4 linked regions of the Caenorhabditis elegans genome follow. The protein of the gene in region 3 interacts with the protein of the main gene of each other region in a biochemical or structural test. Each region holds a gene or a part of one and is shown on either strand. Other genes may lie near its edges.

Evidence for each region.
Region 1: the proteins of hsp-90 (region 3) and fkb-6 form a complex in vitro, tested with the Caenorhabditis elegans proteins (one study listed by BioGRID).
Region 2: the proteins of hsp-90 (region 3) and sti-1 form a complex in vitro, tested with the Caenorhabditis elegans proteins (one study listed by BioGRID).
Region 4: the proteins of hsp-90 (region 3) and D1054.3 form a complex in vitro, tested with the Caenorhabditis elegans proteins (one study listed by BioGRID).

Annotation. Positions count from the first base shown.
Region 1 is NC_003283.11:20,843,369-20,848,923, reverse strand, and holds fkb-6 (peptidylprolyl isomerase), read right to left. Parts: upstream 2,767-5,555; 5' UTR 2,745-2,766; coding exon 2,531-2,744; intron 2,487-2,530; coding exon 1,588-2,486; intron 1,540-1,587; coding exon 1,357-1,539; 3' UTR 1,197-1,356; downstream 1-1,196. Other genes in the region: clec-264 (C-type lectin domain-containing protein), read left to right, coding at 1-62, 742-960, 1,014-1,176; F31D4.2 (Sugar phosphate phosphatase), read left to right, coding at 3,398-3,456, 3,510-3,615, 3,667-3,819, 3,863-4,017, 4,672-4,828, 5,329-5,555.
Region 2 is NC_003283.11:770,900-776,129, forward strand, and holds sti-1 (Stress-induced-phosphoprotein 1), read left to right. Parts: upstream 1-2,618; 5' UTR 2,619-2,691; coding exon 2,692-2,703; intron 2,704-2,757; coding exon 2,758-2,884; intron 2,885-2,938; coding exon 2,939-3,421; intron 3,422-3,475; coding exon 3,476-3,816; 3' UTR 3,817-3,876; downstream 3,877-5,230. Other genes in the region: str-238 (Seven TM Receptor), read left to right, coding at 938-1,075, 1,120-1,574, 1,619-1,686; srbc-58 (Serpentine Receptor, class BC (Class B-like)), read left to right, coding at 4,096-4,270, 5,202-5,230. UniProt on the Caenorhabditis elegans protein: Plays a role in gonad development. Up-regulates longevity and thermotolerance. Binds daf-21/hsp90 and inhibits its ATPase activity.
Region 3 is NC_003283.11:14,683,343-14,689,804, reverse strand, and holds hsp-90 (Heat shock protein 90), read right to left. Parts: upstream 3,646-6,462; 5' UTR 3,642-3,645; coding exon 3,492-3,641; intron 3,445-3,491; coding exon 2,740-3,444; intron 2,692-2,739; coding exon 1,706-2,691; intron 1,648-1,705; coding exon 1,380-1,647; 3' UTR 1,266-1,379; downstream 1-1,265. Other genes in the region: gasr-8 (uncharacterized protein), read right to left, coding at 1-43, 571-651; C47E8.11 (uncharacterized protein), read right to left, coding at 885-1,046, 1,094-1,168; C47E8.4 (Protein FAM50 homolog), read left to right, coding at 4,328-4,436, 4,483-4,612, 4,666-4,765, 5,000-5,071, 5,121-5,191, 5,289-5,451, 5,646-5,981; C47E8.3 (G-protein coupled receptors family 1 profile domain-containing protein), read right to left, coding at 6,168-6,429. UniProt on the Caenorhabditis elegans protein: Molecular chaperone that promotes the maturation, structural maintenance and proper regulation of specific target proteins involved for instance in cell cycle control and signal transduction. Undergoes a functional cycle that is linked to its ATPase activity.
Region 4 is NC_003283.11:10,769,864-10,775,122, forward strand, and holds D1054.3 (SGS domain-containing protein), read left to right. Parts: upstream 1-1,587; 5' UTR 1,588-1,599; coding exon 1,600-1,616; intron 1,617-1,689; coding exon 1,690-1,885; intron 1,886-2,261; exon of another isoform or gene 2,262-2,367; intron 2,368-2,479; coding exon 2,480-2,757; intron 2,758-2,806; coding exon 2,807-2,912; 3' UTR 2,913-2,969; downstream 2,970-5,259. Other genes in the region: D1054.1 (PNPLA domain-containing protein), read right to left, coding at 16-61; pas-2 (Proteasome subunit alpha type-2), read left to right, coding at 518-555, 601-677, 731-977, 1,022-1,355; D1054.5 (CBS domain-containing protein), read right to left, coding at 2,990-3,298, 3,343-3,732.

The sequences.
Region 1 (5,555 bases), 6.2 Mb from region 3:
ATTAATTTCAAGTCTGATGAGGATAATATTGGAAAAGGTTTCGTTATGAGATACAAGATACTGTAGGTTTATACACTTTTCATTAGTTTTATTAATTTTTTACTTTAGGTTTTCAAAAAAAAGTTTTTTCTTCTTTTTCTGCTATTTTCAGAAAATTAAATTTTTTTTGTTTTTTTTTCAGAAAACTGAAAATACTCGATTTCCCAAAAAGGAACATCTTTTTTAAAGTTCCGTTTTCCGTTTTCTTCAGAAAAATTTCAATATAAAGAAAACATTTCAATTTTTTTTAATGTTCAGATATTACTAAAAAAAAACACACACACACAAAATTCTGAGAATACGTATTGCGCAACATATTTGAAATATCTCGTAGCGAAACCTACAGTAATTTTTTAAATGTCTACTGTAGCGCTTGTGTCGATTTACGAGCTCAAATGGATTAAAACACATTTATTTATCGAAAAAGTATTGAAATTAAGTTAATAATTAGAAAATAATGCGAAGAAACGAATGAGCCCGTAAATCGACACACAAGCGCTACAGTATACTATAGTCATTTAAAGAATCACTGTAGTTTTCGTGACGAGATATTTTACGCGTCAAATATGTTGTGCAATACGCATTCTCAGAATTCTGTGTTCATGTAATAAAGTCGATGGTTTTAGAAATTTTCGAATTTTTTTTCAAATCCAGTTCAAAAAATTCGATTTTGAATTTTATCCGAAAATCTTCAATTTCCAGACGTCCACTTCCTGTGAAAGTGTTCTCATCGAACTCTTTTGGCACAGTTACATCGAACAATTATCCAAATTCTCCGGATTCCTTCCTCATCCAATACTATCTCATTCAATGTCCAATTGCTCATCACGTGGCACTGAAATTGAAGGCGATGCAGCTGGATAAATCCGATCGAGTCAAGATATTTAATGGAAACGATGAAACCGCGGGAAAGTTGAAAATGTGAGTGACTTTGATTGAAATTGTAATTTTAAAGAATTAAAAAGTGATTATAGATTCCGTCAATTCTCTCCAAGCTCTGTGGATCTCATAAAAACTACGCAGAACTCGATGTTCATCTCTTATGACACCGGAGAGCAGTTCAATGCATCTAACCACTGGGCCTTTGAATACAATTGTATTCCGGATGGGAACCTGGGAGACGAAATAATTATCTAACCTGACTGGATTGTACATGTACAGAGCAATAAATCTTAATTTAAATAAATATTACAGTATACAACTACCATGATATGCGATATCAATAAAAGGGAAAACAATAGCTTGAATTCTGGGGAAGAGAGATCACAATGAAAACACATTACGAATAAATAGGGGATACTGGGAGAGAGAGGTTATCTAAGCATTGGAAGTAGAGCTTCCAGACGTGGATGCAACGATTTCATCTTCATCCTCAACAGTGTTGGTTGGCTTGTCTTCTTCTGTGGAGATTTTGGCGAATAGATTCTTGAAGCGCTTCTTGTCACGCTCGTTTTGCTCGCGGATCGTGTTACGGCAGACGATGATTTGTTGAGCGGCGGCCTGAATTAATATATTACAAATTATAAACTCAACAGATTTCCTGCAAACCTTATTCTCCGGCTCTACTTCCACAATCTTCTCGAACAACTTCATGGCATCTCGGACTTCGTTCATGGTCAAGAGGGCAGTTGCTTTGCGATACAGTGCCTTGACGTTTCCTGGTTTCGTTTCCAGGACCTTATCGCACCACTTGATGCACTCCAATTGCTCGTTTTGCTTCGAACAAACCAGACTCAAATTAAGATACGCTCCGTTCAAAATTGTCTCTCTTTCGGCCATCTTCTCGGGATCAGTTGACTTTTCATACTCCAACACTTCCTCGGCCCGCTTGTACTTGTTGTAGGCCAATTTGAGATTTCCCTTCTGCAAGTACATGGTTCCACGATCTTTGGCTTGTTTCGCAGCATCAAGCTTCTCCTCTGCAGTCATTTCCCAAGTCGCTGGAACTTTTTCGAACTCCTTCAGGAAAATTGTGAATTCAAGAGTAGCATTGACTGGAATATTTGATCCAGCAGGTGGAGAGTTTCCGTAGGTGTACTTATGACCGCGAATTTCAATTTTTGACTTTTCTCCAAGCTGGAAACGACGCAAAGCCCGCTCGACACCTTCCGGAAGGCCTTCTTCCGAACCTTCTCCGATGTGGAAGTTCACTTCACGATTGTAGAACTCCGTGCCTTGATAGGTTCCGACGCAATGTGCCAAAACCTTGCTGGTGTCATTTGGGAAAGAGTTTTTGGATCCTTCGACGATAATCGTTCTAAGAATCGTCCCATCCCTGTCCGGAGAGATATCCTCGGCGCTCCATTCAAAAAGCTCCACTTCGAAGATCAGCGTTGCCCCTCCTGGAATCTTCGGTGGTGATCCCGCGTCTCCATATCCATAATCCGAGCGAATTGTGAATTCCGCCACCTCGCCTTTGGTCATTGTGGCAACACCGAGATCCCAACCTGGAAATTGATGATTTTCTACACGCTAACATTACTCTGAATACCTTTAATCACATTTCCTCTTCCCAAATTGAATGAGAATTGATCACCGCGATCTCTGGATGAATCGAATTTGGTTCCATTCTCAAGAGTTCCGACGTAATGCACCTTCACGGTCGTTCCAGTGGTTGGCTTGACAACTCCTTGACCCTCCTTCTTGATGAGTTTCAACACTCCACCGTCCTTCTTTGGGGTGATATCGATCTTTTCGCCGGACATCTTGCGAATCTCGCTAATTTACCTGAAAATATTAAAATAAAGTTATTGAAATCTGAACCAGGGCTGTGCGGCGCTTTTTCCAGAAAACGCACAAAACTGCTTATTTCAAAATTAATGTAGAAATGTAGAAAAAGCTTTGTTCTATCTGAAAATAACATTTACTTTTGTTGAAAAGCTACAAAAAGACACATTCAAGCACTATTTGAAGCGTTTTTGAAGGCTTTTTTGAAGGCCATTTTAAGCTGGAACAAATATTTTTCTACATCTCTACATTAACTTTGGATAAGCCGTTTTGTGTGTTCGTCGCGCAGCCCTGATCTGAACAATGACGGTAGGCGAACATCAATAAGAGAACGCAGCAGAAAAAAGTAAATTCGAATGAGATTAACGTAAAATTACTTCATATAACTTGAAAATCACGTAAAGTGAGCTCTAGAACATTCCAATTCTTTGCGCGTCATTTAGAGCGCCAAGTACGCAACTCACTTGCGCGTGTTTGCACAGAAAACGCCGTTTGCCATTGTTGACCGTACCCCAAAATGTTCGATTTTTCGAGGCACATCGATTTCCTTGGAATTTTTCATGTTTCTTAACGTTTTTCAGTCGAAAATTGTATGAAAACTCAATTTTCAGTAATAAAACCTCTGTGAGTGATGGAGAACGCCGACGAGTACGATCACTTGGCGCCGAAACTACGCGGGAAGAAGGAGGGGTTGGTTTCTATTGATTTTTCGACTTTAAAGTTTGTAAATTACAATTTTTCAGCACGTTCGCCTATTACACTGTAAGAGACCGATGGCCGAAGATTGTTACTGGGCTAGTCGATCAATTGGCTCAAAAAAGAGCGAGCCTTATTGAGAAATATGGCAGTGTTCGTAAATATATTGAATTAAAATCAAATTATAATTGTATTTTCTTTCAGGAAGTTGAATCAGATATTGCAGCTATTTTAGAAGTTTTTTCAAAGCTTCGATATGAAATCATGACTGACAAGCCACTTTGCAATCTAATGGACACCCAGTTGGATTCTGAAATGTGGAGAAATTTGCTCAGCGACATGAGAACTGCTGCAATGGTAAATAATTCTCTTGAATTCAATTAATTAATGATTTTTTCAGCCCGACGAAGTTGAAGATCTCACTTTTTTCAAAGGACCATGGCTTTTTGTTGAGTGCTGGCTCTACAGATTCATCTGGAGCACGTTTGCAAAAACTATTCGCCTCAGCGAATATGATTATTTCCAGGACTCGAAGCGCAAAAATTTCCTAGATCAGTAAGAATTTTTTCTGTGGCAATTCGATTGTTTAGAAGAAAAATTGGTTTTTATCAGTAATCCAAAACTATAGGAGTACTCTGATTCAGTGGTGGGCGGCAATTACCGTTCGGCAAATCAGCAAATTGCCGGTTTGCCAGAAATTTTAATGTTTGTCAAATTGCACATTTGCCGCAAATTTTCAATTCCGACAAATGTCGGTTTGCCGATTTGCCGGAAATTCTCTTTTCCGGCAATTTGCCGGCTTGTCGATTTGCCGAAAATGCTCAGAGAGATTTTTTATAAGACGGAAACACTTAAAACTGTGCCTTTATATAATTTTTTCCGTTTTCTTCAGCTATTTTTATAGAATTTGTTTACTTTTCACAATAGATCTATGAACATTCATAGGATGCGTACAATTTGCCCAAAATTTTCGGCAATCTGCCGGTTTGCCCATTTGCCGGAAATTTTCAATTTCGAAATTTTCAATAATAAATGCATTTCTATCAAAAAGCATTAAAAAAATCGATCAAAATTAGACAGGAAAAAATGTTTGAAATTACAGTACTTTTTAAAGGCGCACACTTTTGTTTGCAATAACAAAAAGTATTTTTGGTGGAAAAAATCACAAAATTTATTTTCTCATCGAAAAGTTGAAAATAATCATTTCAGCCTCCCACAAATCGAAGAGTCGGCGGCATTTATCAATAAAATCTCAGCGAAAGATGCTCCAGTTCATGAACTATTCGGAATCAACACAATACTGAAAATGAGCTTGTGGGGAAACCGAGCTGATATGTCATTGACTGGTGGAGACGATCATACCTTGGTAAATTATTATGCGGAACAGTTTGAAACCAGGGGTGTGCGGCTAATAACTGATTTAGCCGAATTTACCGATTGGCTGATTTGGCTAATATTAGCCGAATGATCTGCTTGCCGAGTTTTTTACCAATTAGCCGAATTCGCGGACTTTTTGGCAGTTTGGCTAATTTAAAGTTTTCCGGTAGCCGACTTTGGCTGATGTTAGCCAACACATTTTTTTGGAAAACAAAATTTTTTGAATTTATATGAGTTTTTTTCTATTTGATTTTTTTTGGTTTTGCTCAATAACAGTGAAAAAATTAACCCAAAACCTGAATTGACAGAAAGAACGAAAAAAAGCTTAACCATATGAATATTTTCTGAAATTGCCGAATTATCCGTTAGCCGGTTTTTCTAAACCAGCATTAACCGATTTATCCGTTTGCCGAAAAATCGGTTATCCGCACACCAATGTTTGGAACCTGAAAATGAATTCTATTAACAAATTTTGTTACCTATTTACAGGCGATGTCATCAATGTCGGCTTCTTCAAAACTAGCAGATTTCGTACTTATCGACGATGTCAACGATATGATTGTGAAGGTTCTTGGTCCATTAAAAATCAATGCAAATCACGAAACTAATCGAAGAATCGACATAATTCTCGATAATTCTGGAGTCGAATTGACTGGAGACCTGATCGTCGCCGAGTTTTTCATCTCTCGTGGTTTTGCCGATAAAGTTGTAATTCA
Region 2 (5,230 bases), about 14 Mb from region 3:
GGCCAGAATCCACCAAAAATTGTGCTGCCAAAGCGTCCCATCATCGATTGCACACAATTCTACAAGAGCAGCGAGGATATCGATGAGGAGCAAGTTCCATCAACTTCGAACTTTCAATCATCTTCGAACTCTCTATCAACTTCGAAATCTGCTGGAAGGGAAAATATCCCAGACTCCCCATAAATTCACTAGTTCTCCTGTTTTCTGATACTTTCGAAACTTGTTTTTTTGTTTTTTTTTCCATTTTTCGTTAAATGTTTTTTTTCTGTTGTTTTTTCATTTTGTTTCATTTTCATAATAAATCGTGTTATTTTTTATGGTTTTATAAAAGTTTAATCCAATATGAAAGCAAAACTAGCTAGCAAGAAAGCATAACTACGTAGCAAAACATCACCGCTAATCAGCGGAAAAGCACAATTACTGCGGTTGACTAAGCCGTGACATAAATGCTAATTAGCAGTGATTTTCTATCGCTCTGCCGTGACTCCAGTCTATCTGAGGGGTACTGTAGGGGTACTGTAAGGGTACTGTAGTTTAGGAAAAATTGACTTTTCGTGTTTAGGAAGAATATTGGCTTGGGGTTAGACTGTCGCAGTACTGTAGAGGTAGTGTAGGATTACTGTAGTCTTGGAATATCTGACTTTTCGTTTTTTGAGAGGATATTGGTTTGGATTTAGTGGGGTTAGATGGTCGCAGTACTGTAAGGGTACTGTAGGATTACTATAGTTTAGAAAAAATTCACTGAAGTTTAAAGGAAAAGTCGTGGTGAGACCTATCATGGCTAAAGCCATTCGTTTTGGCGGGAATTCAAATTTTCTGACTATGAGAAAAAATTTTGGCAAGAAATTCAATTTCTGAGAAAATAAAACTTTCTAGAAAAATTTTGAAAATTGTGGAATTAATATAATAAAAATTTTAAAACGTTAACCTTTTTCAGCCATTCATTTCTTAAAACAAAATCACTCCGAAAAACGTTGATCTGGCTCTTGATTCCTGTTATCTACGGTTTCCTCTGGGCAGTCAATTTATATTGTACACTATGGGTCAACACGGATACTGAACAGATATTACAGGGGTGAGTAAAATGAAATGCTTGTTGTACTCTGTTGAACTTCTCAGGAATGGGTATTTACGCGAGAATAAGTTAAACATATCCGACGTAACATATATTGGGCCCAACTATTGGAAACTTGATGAAAATAGAAATGAAGTTATAAATTGGAGAACAATGTTGGGAATGTCTATTGCATCGACACTGATCTCGATTTCCTTCGCAATGATTGTCATTTTTGCAACTTTAAGCTACAAAGAGGTCTCCAAGCTAACCGAGCTGACTTCCCACTCCGAAAAATTCCGTTCAATTCAACTGCAACTTTTAAATTCTTTGGTGTTGCAATCACTTGTCCCGGCGTTTTTCATACAGTTGCCATCGTTCGTCCTATTTCTGGCGCCTTTTTTTCATTGTGGAAGGCCAGTGTTTGGCGAGATAATTGGTGTGACGGTTGCTCTATACCCAGTCTTGGACTCACTTCCAACAATTTTAGTGATCAAGGCTTTCCGTGAAGCAATATTTCGTGAGTAAAAGTTGCCAGCCAAATAAGTTGAGTGTATTTTCCAGATTGTTGCCCATTCACTAATAAAAATGCTACACTTCCCACATCCGTAGCACTGGTTACTATTCAATAATAATACATTCAATTTAAATGATAGAAAATGGACTGTATAACTTAATCGAAACTTGTTTTTACACTTTGCAAGAATCTGATTATTTTAAAATTTTTGTAGATCACAACGATATGGGACATTATGACACCACGAGAGAAATGTCTGAAAATTTACACACATCAAAGTATATACAATAAATCGGTCATTACGGCTCATTTTCTATCTTTTAAAGTAAACATTTTGCGTCAAGAATACGGTAGCCGGTCTCGACACGACAAGCCTTTGTCAAATGAGAAAAGGTGTGCGCCTTTAAAGAGTACTGTAATTTCGAGCTTTTGTTGGTACGGAACTTTTATCGATTTTTTTTTAGAATTTACGTGTTTTTATTTGTTTTATTCAAGTCTTTTTATTAAATAATAACAGTTGAGACGAAAATATGAAAACTCGATGAAAATTCCACAACAACAAGAGTTTGACGCTACAGTAATCTTTAAAGGAGCACACCCGATTACATTAAACAAAAATAGTCGCGTCCAGACCTGGTACCATATTTTTGACCAAAAATATTCATTATTCCGCGAATTAATGATAACAAAAGTCAGAATTTTGTTTAGTTTCGGGAAAATTCGGAGCAAAATTCAGAAAAATTCAAAATTTGACTCGATGCTCGTTATTTTCCGGAGTATCTGTATTTTTATCGTGAAATCCAGTTCACATTGGGTATTCCGGGCGCCTTTACTTTTCTTTTTTAAATTTCCTAATCAATTTCTATATTTTTATGTATAAAAATCGATCTAAAACGAAACGGGTATTATTTAAAATTCAAGCGTCTCCCGCCAAGCGATTATTTTCTCTGCGTCTCTCTCCTTCGCACACTCTCTGCCTCGCTCGCTCAATAGAGCGCGTTTGCCATTGGCAAATTTTCTCGAAGAATTCCTCATTTTCTCGATTCATTTCCTTCTTTTCATCGTTTCTGCTCACTTTTATCTCATTTTTTTTTCAGATTTTTTCAATATTTCGGCAAAAATGACGGACGCCGTAAGTTTTTCAACAATTAATCAATAAAATTCAACTAAAATTCCCTATTTTCAGGCGATTGCTGAAAAAGATCTCGGAAATGCTGCCTACAAGCAAAAGGACTTTGAAAAAGCTCATGTTCACTACGACAAAGCGATCGAGCTTGATCCTAGTAATATTACCTTCTACAACAACAAAGCCGGTAGGTTTTTATTTAAAAAAAACTGTAGATTTTCCCTAATTTTCCGAATTTCAGCCGTCTATTTCGAGGAGAAAAAATTCGCGGAATGTGTGCAATTCTGCGAGAAAGCCGTCGAAGTTGGACGCGAGACCCGTGCCGATTACAAGCTTATCGCCAAGGCCATGTCTCGTGCCGGAAACGCTTTCCAGAAGCAGAATGACTTGAGTTTAGCCGTCCAATGGTTCCACCGCTCGCTCTCCGAGTTCAGAGACCCCGAGCTTGTCAAGAAAGTCAAGGAGCTCGAGAAGCAGTTGAAGGCGGCCGAGCGTCTTGCCTATATCAATCCAGAGCTTGCCCAGGAGGAGAAGAACAAGGGAAACGAGTATTTCAAGAAGGGCGACTATCCGACAGCGATGAGGCACTACAACGAAGCGGTGAAGCGTGATCCGGAGAACGCGATTTTGTACTCAAACCGGGCCGCGTGTCTGACGAAATTGATGGAATTCCAGAGAGCTCTTGATGATTGTGACACTTGTATTCGGCTGGACTCGAAATTTAGTACGATTTTCTAATTTTTTTGCTCAGAATTAACTAAAAATTGTATTATTTCAGTCAAGGGATACATCCGCAAAGCCGCTTGCCTCGTCGCAATGCGTGAGTGGTCGAAGGCTCAGCGAGCCTACGAAGATGCTCTCCAAGTCGACCCATCCAACGAAGAAGCCCGTGAAGGTGTGCGTAACTGTCTGCGAAGCAACGACGAGGATCCCGAGAAGGCCAAGGAGAGAAGTCTCGCCGATCCAGAAGTTCAGGAGATTCTCCGCGACCCAGGAATGCGTATGATTCTCGAGCAGATGAGCAACGACCCGGGAGCCGTGCGAGAGCACTTGAAGAATCCGGAGATCTTTCAGAAACTCATGAAGCTCCGCGACGCTGGAGTCATTCAGATGCGCTAATTATTTGATTGCTCCCGGTTTTTCACCCATTATTTGATTTTTATTTGAATTTTTCTCCCCCCCCCCCCCCCCATGGTCTGTGTTTTTTGCATCTCGCTCGTCCTCTGGACTCGTCTTCAAAATATAAAAATATATTTATCGTCGTCGCAACTAAAAGACAAACAAAATCTCATTAATTTCAGACATTTTTTTGTACTTCGCACTACAAAATTGTTCATTCGACTGGAAGCTGAACCAAAAAATTCGTCGAAAACAAAAAAGTCACAACTTCCTTCCCTTATGTCTTCTTTGGTGACGTCGGTAGCGATTTCAGCGATTTTTTTCACCGAAATCAACGTTTTTCTGAATTTCTACCTGCTTTCTCAAATATTTATACGAAAGAAAATCCAGAAAAAGCCAGAATTATCACTGATTTATTGCCGTTTTCTAATCGACGTGATTTATTCTTTCGATAGTGAGTTATTTTTAAGCGGAATCTAGGAAATTTCTCCAAATTTGCCCGATTCTGCTCGAAATCGCGAGTTTCTTTCCCCAAAACCATTTTCAAACGCGCGCCAGGGACATTCTCATTGGAGCGCGCCGCGTGTGTCGATTTACGAGAGTTCGCATTTTTCTCGAGTTTTTTGCGGAAAAAATCGAAATTTCAATGTTTGAAGCGAGAAAAAGTGATGAAAAAAAAGGAAATTCATTGAAAAAATCGGAAATCTGAAAAATAAAATTTTCTTATAACCTGAAACATGGTAAAATCTTAATGTAAGTGTTCAAATTATCAGTCATACGTAAAAAACGGAAAAATTATCGGCAATTTGCCGGTTTGTCGGAAATTTCGAATCCGGCAATTTGCCGATTTACCCGAAATTTCGATTCCGGCAATTTGCCGGTTTGCCGGAAAATTCAATTTTAGCAATCTGCCGATTTGCCGGAAATTTTCAATTCCGGCAATTTGCCGGTTTGCCGGAAATTTAAATTTCGCCAATTTGCCGATTTGCCGGAAATTTCAATTTCGGCAATTTGCCGATTTGCCGGAAATCTTCAATTCCGGCAATGTTCACGTCACATATTTCTGGCGAAAAAGTTCCCGCATTTATTGTAGATCACACCGAAATGGGACAGCCTGGCACCGGGATTCCCAGTCAGGGGTTGGCGGCAAACAACTTTTCCGGCAAACCGGCGAATTGCCGGAATTGAAAATTTCCGGTAAATCGGCCAATTGCTGGAATCGAATTTTCCGGTAAATCGGCCAATTGCCGGAATTGAAGATTTCCGGCAAACCGGCAAATTTCCGAAATTGAAGATTTCCGGCAAATCGGCAAACCGGCAAACTGCCGGAGTTGAAATTTCCGGCAAATTGGCAACAAACAAGAATTAAAAAAAAACAATTTCAGCATCAATATTTTTGATTTATTCCCTGATA
Region 3 (6,462 bases):
TTGCAGGTTTTCGACGGGAAGCTGCATTGGTCGATAATGTAGACTAAAATTGTTACAAATTTTTTGATAATATAGTAATTTTAATAGATTTTTGCTTTTGCTTTAACAGCTAAAATTACAAGAAACACAATCCGTAGAAAACTGTTGGTCGACCAAAAAAATTACGATGAAAACTGAAACAAAAAGAACTCCGTCGAACCGGATTCGAACCAGTGACCTAAGGATATCTGCAAACTCTACAGTCCTCCGCTCTACCAACTGAGCTATCGACGGCATGTTTTCGGTCGATGCCGCTGACACACACAAAACTGAAGAATGAGAGAAAACGCGCGCGGAAAGATGGAAGACCGGTTGCCGACAGTTTTCCGTTAAGAGGTGACGGAAAAAGTGTATACCCACAAAAACTGCGTATATTCCGGTTATTTTTCAAGTGTTTTCAGCGGTATTTTGAAAATTAAGCAGCAGAAAAAACTACATGCGCCTTTAAATTGAAGTACTGTAGAGAAAACAAATTGCAAGCCTAAAAACGAAAAAAAAACATTTATTTCGAATATCCCTTTTAATACATACCCTGATAGCTTTGGGTTTCTTCATAACTCGCTTGTTTTGAATATTAGAAGACGTATCACGCGAAGTCCCTGCCGTTTTCATAATTAATAGGAGTGAGCACAGACTGCAAAGAGAGCCCGGAACACAGAAAGAGCTCAGTAAAGCTGCTTTCAATTTCTCAAGGGCAGTTGGAAAGAGTTGGCATGGTAACGGATGTCAATTTGAGCACGCATCAACAGATTTGCGTGCGCGGAAAGCGGATTTTTCAAGAGAATAAGCATATGTTCATAAAACGATTATCGAAAAATTTTTATTTTTAGAAATAAAATGAGAGATTAGACAGCAAGGTTTGGTGGGATTGGAACAATTTCATCTTCATCTTCTTCTTCCGGATTCCACCAACGAACATCCAACTTGCGTCCTTCGAAATCTTCATTGACAGGATCCCAGAGGTTATAATTGAAATTTGGACGTGGAGGTGGATTGAATGGCTTTTCCTGAAACATGAAAAGATATTAAACTCATCTCCAACTCATGTATAAACCGGTTCTGGAATGATGCAGCAAACAGCACTGGCCAAGATCAGGAAACATGCCAACTCGAATAAGATTGCAATCATGTTTCGTATAAACTAAAACTGTTTAATTTCCCTCGAGTATCTAAACTGTTCAAATGTGCTTCTTCAAAAGTTCACGTTTGCAAAAAAAAACATTGATGAAATTAATTACGGAACTTTATTTGGGTTCGATAGACAGGAAAACAATGAATAAAACTGTGGAGGGGCTTTTGGGGAGATCTTCTCGTAACAAATGATAAATTAAATAGGATGTTTAGTCGACCTCCTCCATGCGGGAAGCATCCTCCTCAGCTCCCTCAATCTTGGCCTCAGCGGTGCACGATGATGGAACAGCAGAATCTTCAATTTCGTCATCTCCGATATCGAGACCAAGCTTGATCATTCTGTAGATGCGGGAAGCGTGAGATTGTGGCTCCTCAAGGGAGAATCCGGAAGCGAGAAGAGCAGTCTCGAAAAGAAGAACAACCAAATCCTTAACGGTCTTGTCATTCTTATCGACCTCGACACGATCACGAAGTGTCCTGAAATAGCAAAAACGTTTGTGAATGTTCATTTTAAAATAGTTTTTGGGTAACTTACTTCATGATAGCGTGGTCTGGGTTGATTTCGAGATGCTTCTTGGCGGCCATGTATCCCATAGTAGAGGAATCACGAAGAGCTTGAGCTTTCATGATGCGCTCCATGTTAGCGGACCATCCGTACTCGGAAGTGACAATGCAGCATGGGGAAGAGACAAGACGGTTAGAAACTCCAACCTTCTCAACCTTCTTCTCCAAAATGTCCTTGATGACCTTGCAAAGGTTTTCGTAGGCAACCTTGTCCTCTTCGAACTTCTTCTTCTCCTCCTCGGTTTCTGGGAGCTCGAGTCCTTCCTTGGTGACGGAGACAAGCTTCTTTCCATCATACTCCTTGAGTTGTTGGACGCAGTACTCATCAATTGGGTCGCACATGTAGAGGACTTCGAATCCGCGGCTCTTAACACGCTCGACGAAAGCTGAAGCAGCAACAACATCCTTGGACTCTCCGGTGATGTAGTAGATTTGAGTTTGGTTCTCCTTCATGCGGGAAACGTATTCCTTGAGGGAAGTTGGCTCATCTCCAGCGGAGGTAGAGTAGCGAAGGAAATCGGAAAGCTTCTTGCGGTTAGTAGAGTCCTCGTGGATTCCGAGCTTGAGATTCTTTCCGAATTGCTCGTAGAACTTCTTGAAGTTGTCTTTGTCCTCGGCAACCTCGTCGATAAGCTCCATGCACTTCTTGACAAGATTCTTACGGATGACCTTCAAGATCTTGGATTGCTGGAGCATTTCACGAGAGATGTTAAGTGGAAGATCCTCAGAATCGACGACTCCCTTGATGAAGTTAAGGTATTCTGGCATGAGCTCTTCGCAGTTCTCCATGATGAAGACACGACGAACGTAGAGCTTGATGGAGTTCTTGCTCTTCTTGTTCTCGAAGAGATCAAATGGAGCTCTTTGTGGGACGAAGAGAAGAGCACGGAATTCAAGTTGTCCCTCAACGGAGAAATGCTTGACGGCAAGATGATCTTCCCAGTCATTGGACAAGCTCTGAAATTAATGGAATTATTGCCATAAAATAATTAAAACTAAAAATACCTTGTAGAACTCAGCATATTCTTCGTTGGAGATATCGTCTGGGTTTCTGGTCCAGATTGGCTTGGTCTTGTTAAGCTCTTCGTCTTCGAAGTACTTCTCCTTGATTTTCTTGGTCTTCTTCTTGTCAGCGTCGTCAGCGACGTTCTCGACCTCTCCCTCCTTCTTCTCCTCATCCTTAGCCTCGACAGCCTCCTCATCTTCAACCTCCTTCTCACGCTCCTTCTCAACCACAAGCTTGATTGGGTATCCGATGAACTGAGAATGCTTCTTAACGATCTCCTTGATCTTGCGCTCCTCGAGGAAGTCAATCTGATCCTCCTTGATGTGCATGACAATCTTCGTTCCACGGGTGACCTCTGGGTCATTGAATGGACGAACGACGAAAGAACCTCCTGCGGAAGACTCCCATTGATAGCTGTCATCATCGTTGTTCTTGGATGTGACGACAACCTTATCGGCGACAAGGAAAGCAGAGTAGAATCCGACTCCGAACTGACCAATCATGGAAATATCAGCTCCAGCTTGAAGAGCCTCCATGAAGGCCTTGGTTCCAGACTTGGCAATGGTTCCAAGGTTGTTGACAAGATCGGCCTTGGTCATTCCGATTCCGGTATCCATAATGGTAAGGGTCTTTTCCTCCTTGTTTGGAGTAATTTTGATGAACAATTCCTTTCCAGTGTCAAGCTCGGATGGCTCGGTGAGTGCCTAAAACCGATATTTTAAAAAATTGACTCAGAAGCGAAAAAACAAACCTGGTAGCGAATCTTGTCAAGAGCATCGGAGGCGTTTGAGATCAATTCACGCAAGTAGATTTCCTTGTTACTGTAGAAAGTGTTGATGATCAAGCTCATCAACTGAGCAATCTCAGCCTGGAATGCGAAGGTTTCGGCGTTCTCGGACATGGTTCTGGAAAAATATCAATTAACAATCGAGCAACAAAAACTGAATAGAACTTTATAACGATTCAATGAATGAAAGAGCACGCATGGCGAATGATTTCGAAACTAAAAACACATTATAACCTTATCTAGAAATGAACTAATTTTAGGCCTAAAACTATTGTTCAAAAACCTTTAAAAATCAAAAACAATGATCCGTGATTAACATAAAAGCCATATTAGTGAGAGGAAAACCAAAAATCTTCACCCGAAAACCGAAAGAACTGGGAATATCAGAGCTCTGAGGCGTAATTGAAGGTCTAAATTTTGAACAAGATGCGAAATGTTCTCGAAGGAGGGCGTGGCCTTTCAATTTGATTGGTTGGTTTTCAAATTGCCCTTTTCGGCGGAAAATTCTCGACGAAAATTGTCAATAGAGCGCGTTTTCAGCACCTGGCCGAAGTTTTGCAGAATAGGTAACTAGGCCACAAACATTTTCTTGTTTTTAGTTTGAATTGTTTTTTCTTCATTTTTTTCAGATTACTTCGTCGAAAAGACGTTTTTTTGGTATTTTTGCACCAAAAAAAAATCTAAAATTATTATTCTATATTAAATAAAATCCCGAAATAAACTATATGTCACTCTCAATATTGAACTCGTTGAAAAATATTGCTTTCATTGGTTTTTATTTTATTTTTGCAGTTAATAAAATGTCCCGCGCCGACGAAGGCCGCTTGATTCATTTGGCAAAGAAACGTGAGCGTGAAAAGGAAGATATCGAACAACAATTGCGAAAGCTTGAAGAAGACAAAGAAAAATGTATGGTGAAACCCCTTTTTAATTATTAAAACTACAAATTTTGCAGGCAGGGTCGGAATTACGAATAAATTCATGGCAAACTATGAAACAGTCGAAGAAGTCGTGAAGTCTAAAACCTATGGCTTGGTATCATTGGATGATATGAAAAATATTCAGAAAAACGAAATTTCAAACAGGTTCGATTTTCTACATTTTGGAGAGCCTCACAATAAAAATGTGTACCTTATAGAGATCTACAAGTGGCCCGGGGAGACCAATCATCTTCTACTCAATCTAAAGATTCACAAGAAGCTCGAGAAAAAGAAGAACACGTTGCAAAACATACCCAGGTAAATGTGAAGGATTGCTGTAGAAATTTGGTTGTAGGCTCTAGACTCGGGTAGCAGTTGTAGTTCAATTGACTAGAGATTTCTCGTCGAAAGAGTCTTTTATACCAGATTTCTAAAAATTTGAGAACTTTCGAGAAAGAAAAATTGAGGGCAGGTGAGAGTGTGAGGAAACGCAGATATAAAACATTTTTGTAGAACATTCGAGAAAAACTGTTTTAATATTGCTAATTTCAGAAGCGATTTTTATCGTTTGCATTTGATGACGAAGAGGACGAAGAAGATGCTGCACCAATTATCCCGAAAAAGGTAAGAATAATAATTAAAAAGAAAAAATTAAAGCGAAAAATGTTTGCAGCGCGTTGGAATGGACCCAACTGTCGACACAAGCTTCCTGCCTGATAAAGAACGAGAGGAGTTCTTGAGAAAGTGAGTTCTAGAAGAAAAAACAACGACATTTCAAATTTTGGCGGGTGTAGATCATCCCGGTGAACAAATAAATAAAAAATAATAAGTCTGGTTTCAGAAAGAAAGAATCATTGGCAGCCGAGTGGCGTGTGAAGCAAGATGCCGAGAAAAACGAGGAAATTACAGTTGCCTACGCCTATTGGGATGGATCTTCACATCGGAAAAATATGAAAATCAAGAAAGGAAACACGATTTCGCAATGTCTAGGAAGAGCCATTGAGGTAATAATGAACTTCAGAAAATAAAAAAAAAGTGTTCTATGTATTTATTTTTTTGGAAATTTTTTGAGAAGGCAATTTATGAAATTCGACCGTTTCGGGCAAAAACCCACAAACTTTACTTCCCCTCTAAAATATTTTTTAATTGTTTTTTTTTTTCAACAAATCAAAAAATATTTATAAATATTCATTTTCAGGCTCTGAAAAAGGAATTCACGGAGCTTAAATCGTGCACAGCCGAGAATCTGATGTTCGTCAAAGAGGATCTCATCATACCACATTTCTACACGTTCCAAGACTTTATAGTCACAAAAGCAATGGGAAAGACTGGTCCGCTGTTCGTGTTCGATTCGGCTTCCGATGTTCGTATACGCCAAGATGCTGCACTTGACTATGGAGAATCTCATCCAGCGAAAATAGTACTTCGTAGTTGGTACGAAAAGAATAAGCACATTTATCCGGCGTCACGATGGGAACCATTCGTGCCCAGCAAGAAATACGGTCGTAATTTTGATGATCTCAGTGACTTGTAAATTATTAATCTCATGTTCTACTTTGAATTTGTTCCTGTAAAGTTTTCTGTTTGTTTTTGTGTTGAATTTCGAAACAAAAAATTTATATCAAATCTAAAATTTATATGAAACACTTTTTAAAAATAAGAAAAATTGGAGCAAATTAAAAACAAATAGGTAATCAAATGAGACAATTCATGAACCCGTTTACAACCGCCACTCTTGAAGTTTTTCATCATAAACTGCCGATGGCTTCGAGATACTTTCTGGAGAACTTAACGACATCTTCGATCCACCGTCACCAGCACCACCACACTCCAAAGAATTCGGAATACCATGGATCGGAGAGTATTCCTGTGGCTTTTTCGAATTGCCCATTAAACAAGTGATTCGCATTCCATGGAGAGTATCAACGGAAGCCGTGTGGATTAGCCGATTGCAGCAGAAATATATCGGGAAGCGAAGACAACTGAAAACTTGCTGGTTTTAGATTTTGCACTGA
Region 4 (5,259 bases), 3.9 Mb from region 3:
ATTAGAAATTCGTACCTTCTAGTTTGTTTAGTCGTTTCAGCAAAATAGTCGATATTTTCATAGTTATAGATTTTATATAATAAAAATTAAATCACAAGTGTCTCATGGTAAAGAAGATTTCCAATAAACATGCCACTGTGTTGAAGAAACTAAATAAAAACAAAAGTGACGAATTACAGCGTTGCCCGCATGGAGGAGTTGAGACGATGAATATGTTTTTAATTTATGTGAAAAAGATAAAAATCAATTAACGAAAAAATTCACATGCATTAAACATTTAGAGAAGTGTAAACATTTTAATTTTCACAATAAATGTTTGGTAATTAGATTCTCCGGGAATTTTGCGTCGATGAAGTGGTCATAAAGCGCGCTCTACCGCACTCAGTTCGAATGATGACAATTTCACCGGGTTTTCTTTTTCATTTGCTCCTCGCTTTAAAGCAAACGCTTTCTTGTTGTCAATTGGTGTTCGATTAAATTTCTCAGTTAAAATAAATTTTTCAGAAATCACTGAAAAATGGGAGATCACTATGGATTCTCACTCACCACCTTCAGGTAGTTTAAATTCAATCTCCAGAAAAGTCAATTTTATTTTTATAGCCCATCGGGAAAATTGATGCAAATCGAATATGCATTGAATGCTGTCAAGAATGGGCAACCATCGGTTGGACTGAGAGGTATTCAAGTTTTTGTCTTGTACTGTCGTTTTCAATGGGAAATTCATTTTCAGCTAAAGACGGAGTCGTTCTTGCGACCGAGAATGTCGGATCTGTTCTCACCGATGACCAGCCAAAGGTAGAACAAATCAGCAAGCATATTGGATGCGTCTACAGTGGAATGGGACCAGACTTCCGTATTTTGGTGAAGAAAGCTCGCAAGATTGCTATGGAATACGAAATGATGTACGGCGAGGAAATGCCAACCATTCAACTTGTCACTGACATCGCGGCCGTAATGCAGGAATATACTCAATCTGGGTGAGTTAGAACTTTTCTAAACGCACTCTATTCAGATTTTTCAGTGGTGTTCGTCCGTTTGGAGCATCGCTTCTTATCGCAGGTTGGGACAAAAATCCAGGACGGCCATTGCTCTTCCAATGTGATCCATCTGGAGCTTACTTCGCATGGAAAGCAACAGCACTCGGGAAAAACGACGTCAATGCGAAAACATTCCTCGAGAAGCGCTTCAGCGAGGCCCTCGAGCTCGATGATGGAATTCACACTGCTCTTCTGACACTGAGAGAATCGTTCGATGTTGGCATGAACGAGAACAACGTTGAGGTGGCTGTTTGTAACTCGACCGGATTCCATCGGCTCACCAAGCAACAAGTCCATGATCACCTTGGAACTCTTTAAATCGAGTGATTTCACAATTTTCTTTCTTTCTTTTCTCTAATTTATTCTATGTATTCTCCCATCTATCCGTACCCGGTAGTAATCTCTTTTTGCTACGGTGTTTTGTTGGAACAATGAATCCTTTTACCGTTTTACACCCGACTTTTGAGGTACTTTTATTAAGGTGTATAACCCTATTAGGTTGTTTATCTTGACTGAATTTTCTCAGACTTATGAACAAACTTGTTTTCAGCTATTAATCAAAATGTCTTCAAAACCAAGGTGAGCATTAAAATTTACAGGATAGTGAATTTTAAAAATTTTGAAATAAGAATTCGTTACATTCAAATTTCAGGCATGATTGGTTCCAGAGTGAAACTGATGTCACTTTAACTATCCTAAAACGCGGAGTGCCTCTCGATGATTGCTCTGTTTCTCTATCAGATAACAACACACTGACGGTCAAGCAATGTGATGAGATTCTCTTCTATGGACAATTATCTGGTCAAGTGAAAAAAGATGATCTTACTGTAAAATGCACTGCCGCCAAGGTTAGTTGGGTTGAAATATTATTGTAGATCCATTAGAAACTAGAAAACTAGATAAATGTCTAAACGTCAAGATTTTCTAGTGATCCTCCCAAGCATACCTTATTTATTAAATTATGGTTATTAACATTAAAAACATGTTTTCCGGCCATGGAAAATTGATTGGAATTTGTTTAATTTTAGTGTAGTTTATTTTAACTCGATTGAAACAGTTATTCAAGAATAGTCTGAGAAATTGCGTCTAGTCAGAAAATGCTAGCTATTAATGCTATTAATGCTCTACATTCACCTGAACGAGTTATAGATTGTACCAAGTAAGGACATGTGGCTCAGTGGTAGAATATACCCTTACTACGCATACAGTTGTGGTTCGGTAACGACAGGATGATGAGTCACTCGCTGAGTGACAATAAGCCGAGTGTTAGCGGTTTTTATGTAATCGTGATGATCATTCCCTCAAAAGCGATAATTGTGAACTGACTGTCCGAAACCACAAAAAAAAATAAAAAATTGCGTTCCATAATAACTTGATTGGATTTAAAAACGTCCAGAGCAAAATTTTTGAATAAAACAACTTTTATTTAAAACTTATTCCAGGTAGAAGTTCGACTTCCGAAATTCGCTCGCAATGAACGATGGGCTTCTCTGCTGAAAGACGGACAAGGTGTTGCCGCTTCTGTACAGAGTGTATCACCAAATCCAGAAAGTGCACCAACTACTACTGTGAAAAAGAATTGGGATGCTATCGAGAAACAAGCTGTAAAAGAAGAGGAAGATGAATCGCTGGAAGGTGATGCCGCTGTAAACAAAATGTTCCGTAAGATGTACAACGACGCTTCGGATGATGTCCGACGTGCCATGATGAAGAGCTATTCGTAAATCGTTATTGCCTGAAAACCAAGAGATTATAGTGATTATTTTCAGTGAATCAAATGGAACCGTCTTGTCTACAAATTGGTCTGAAATTGGTCAAAAGAAAACGGAATGTCAGCCACCAGCATGTATGGAATATAAGGAATATGAAAAGTGATGATTAAATTCTTATTTTGTTATATGAACACCGCCAAAAATGAAACTTCATGTCAAATGTTTTGTTTTAAAGTTTAATTAAAATCTCATATCCTCGATATCCCCTTCAGATTCGTTGGTCCCCTGACGCTTGATAACTGCTTTGTCTCTGGAGGTGTATAATTTTTCATAACCATTATGTGGTTCCGGATCTGTTGGATCTGTGGATTGTGAGCTCGTATCTGATTCAAATGGAAGAAAAGCTTGTGATAGTGATGGACGTTTCTTATTTGTCATTTCCAATCTGATGGTATTCATTGTCTCGGTCTTGGCGACCTTTCCAGCTATTTGTTCGATCCATTTCTCCGTTTCGTTTTTCTGCTGGCTCCACTGTTGTTTTACTTGATCCTGAAACGTTATATTACTCAATTGAAGATAATAGCTCTGATCACCTGAATATAGGATTCAATGTCTTCTGCATGCCTCCTCATCTCTTCAAGAGACATATCTTTCAAATCCGGATCTTCAACAGAAACAGTTTGCACTTCAGTGTAATCTAGCTGAAAAGAGCATTCTGGATGGACAATCGTGTTGTGGCATCGCGTGAAGCTCAATGGTGCTGGTGGAGCACGATTTGGCGGTGGAGGTGGTGTACGATCATCGCCCAAACGAATCTCGACATTGCATTGTGCACTAGATGAACCCGGAAATTGATTCGATGACGGTGAGAACGATATCGTGTCATATTTATGACTTCCCTGTGGTCGGAGAGCAGATTCAGAACGATTACGACCATTTGCGGAGAGAATCGGAGGCGAAAAAAGTTGTTCCACACTTGTAGACTGTAAACAGGAAGGAATGTTATTTATTATTTTGTTGTGGACTTAAGTGTACTTTAAAAACATTACAATATTCGGTATGGAACGTAAATATTCTGTAAAATACAAAACTGTTCAAATTTACAATTCTTCTAATTTCGTACTAACAAATTTGATAATACATTTGAGAAGTGTCACGTCACACTGTAAAAAGGTTACTGTGGCTTGCGTCGATTTATGGTATTGCATCATCCTTTTCAACAAAAAACATGAAAGGTAGCATACAAATAATCTCATATGTAGTAATAGCTATACTTACTATTATCAGGTTGTCCCATAAGTTTTTGTACTTTTTTTCAAATATTTTTCCAAAACTTCTAGAAAGTTTTAAAATTTTTTCATCGTAGGTCGTGTCAAGGTCGGGTCGTCCCCTTTCAGAAAAGATTCATTTCATCCATTTCTACTTTGCCACGATGACAATCATCAAACTTGAACGTCGAGACGTTAGATTGCTTCTTCTTTATGAATTTCGTCTTGGTCATTCAGCAATGGAAGCGGAACGAAACATATGCGGTGCGATGGGTGAGGGAGCACTCTCTTATAATACAGCAAAGAGTTGGTTTCAAAAGTTCAAGAACGGCGACTTCAGTCTCGAAGAAATAGAACGTTCTGGGCGACCGGTAGAGTTAAATGAAGAAGACCTAGTGAAGCTGGTGGAGGAAGAGCCTCGTCTTAGTCTTCGTGAAATGGAAGAGAAGCTTGAGTGTTGTCATAGCACAATTGCACGTCACTTGGGTCGCCTTGGTTTTACTTCAAAACTTGGAACTTGGGTGCCTCATGAACTTTCGGCATCACAGAAGCTCACTCGGGTCAACGTTTGTACTCAACTTCTAACTTTTCGTCGAAAGTTCGATTGGCTGAACAATCTGGTTACTGGAGATGAGAAGTGGGTGCTCTATGTTAACCATTCCAGAAAACGTCAATGGCTTCCGATCGGTGAGAAAGGAATACCGACGCCAAAGCCCAAAAAAGATTATGATCTGTGTCTGGTGGGGTGTTCAAGGACCCGTGCACTGGGAATTGTTGCCAACTAATAAAACTATCACTGCTGATTACTATTGTGCCCAATTGGACCGAGTTGCAGAAAAGACCAACGGAAAATATGAAAAACTATATTTTCTTCACGATAATGCTAGGCCTCATGTCGCCAAGAAGACTTTCCAAAAGCTGCAAGATCTTGGTTGGACTGTTTTACCGCATCCACCATATTCTCCAGATCTTGCACCAACCGACTACCATTTGTTCTTGTCTCTCAGTGACTACATGCGCGACAAGCAATTCGACGACGAAGAGCATCTCAAAACTGAACTCTCCACTTTCTTCTCATCGCGTTCGCCGGATTTCTTCTCCCGTGGCATCATGATGTTACCTAGTAAATGGCAACAAGTGGTGGACACTAATGGTGAATACTTGTGTGAATAGTACTACTTGTCGCTTGAGAGAAATAAATTTTTTTCAAAAAAAAAATAGTACAAAAACTTATGGGACAAC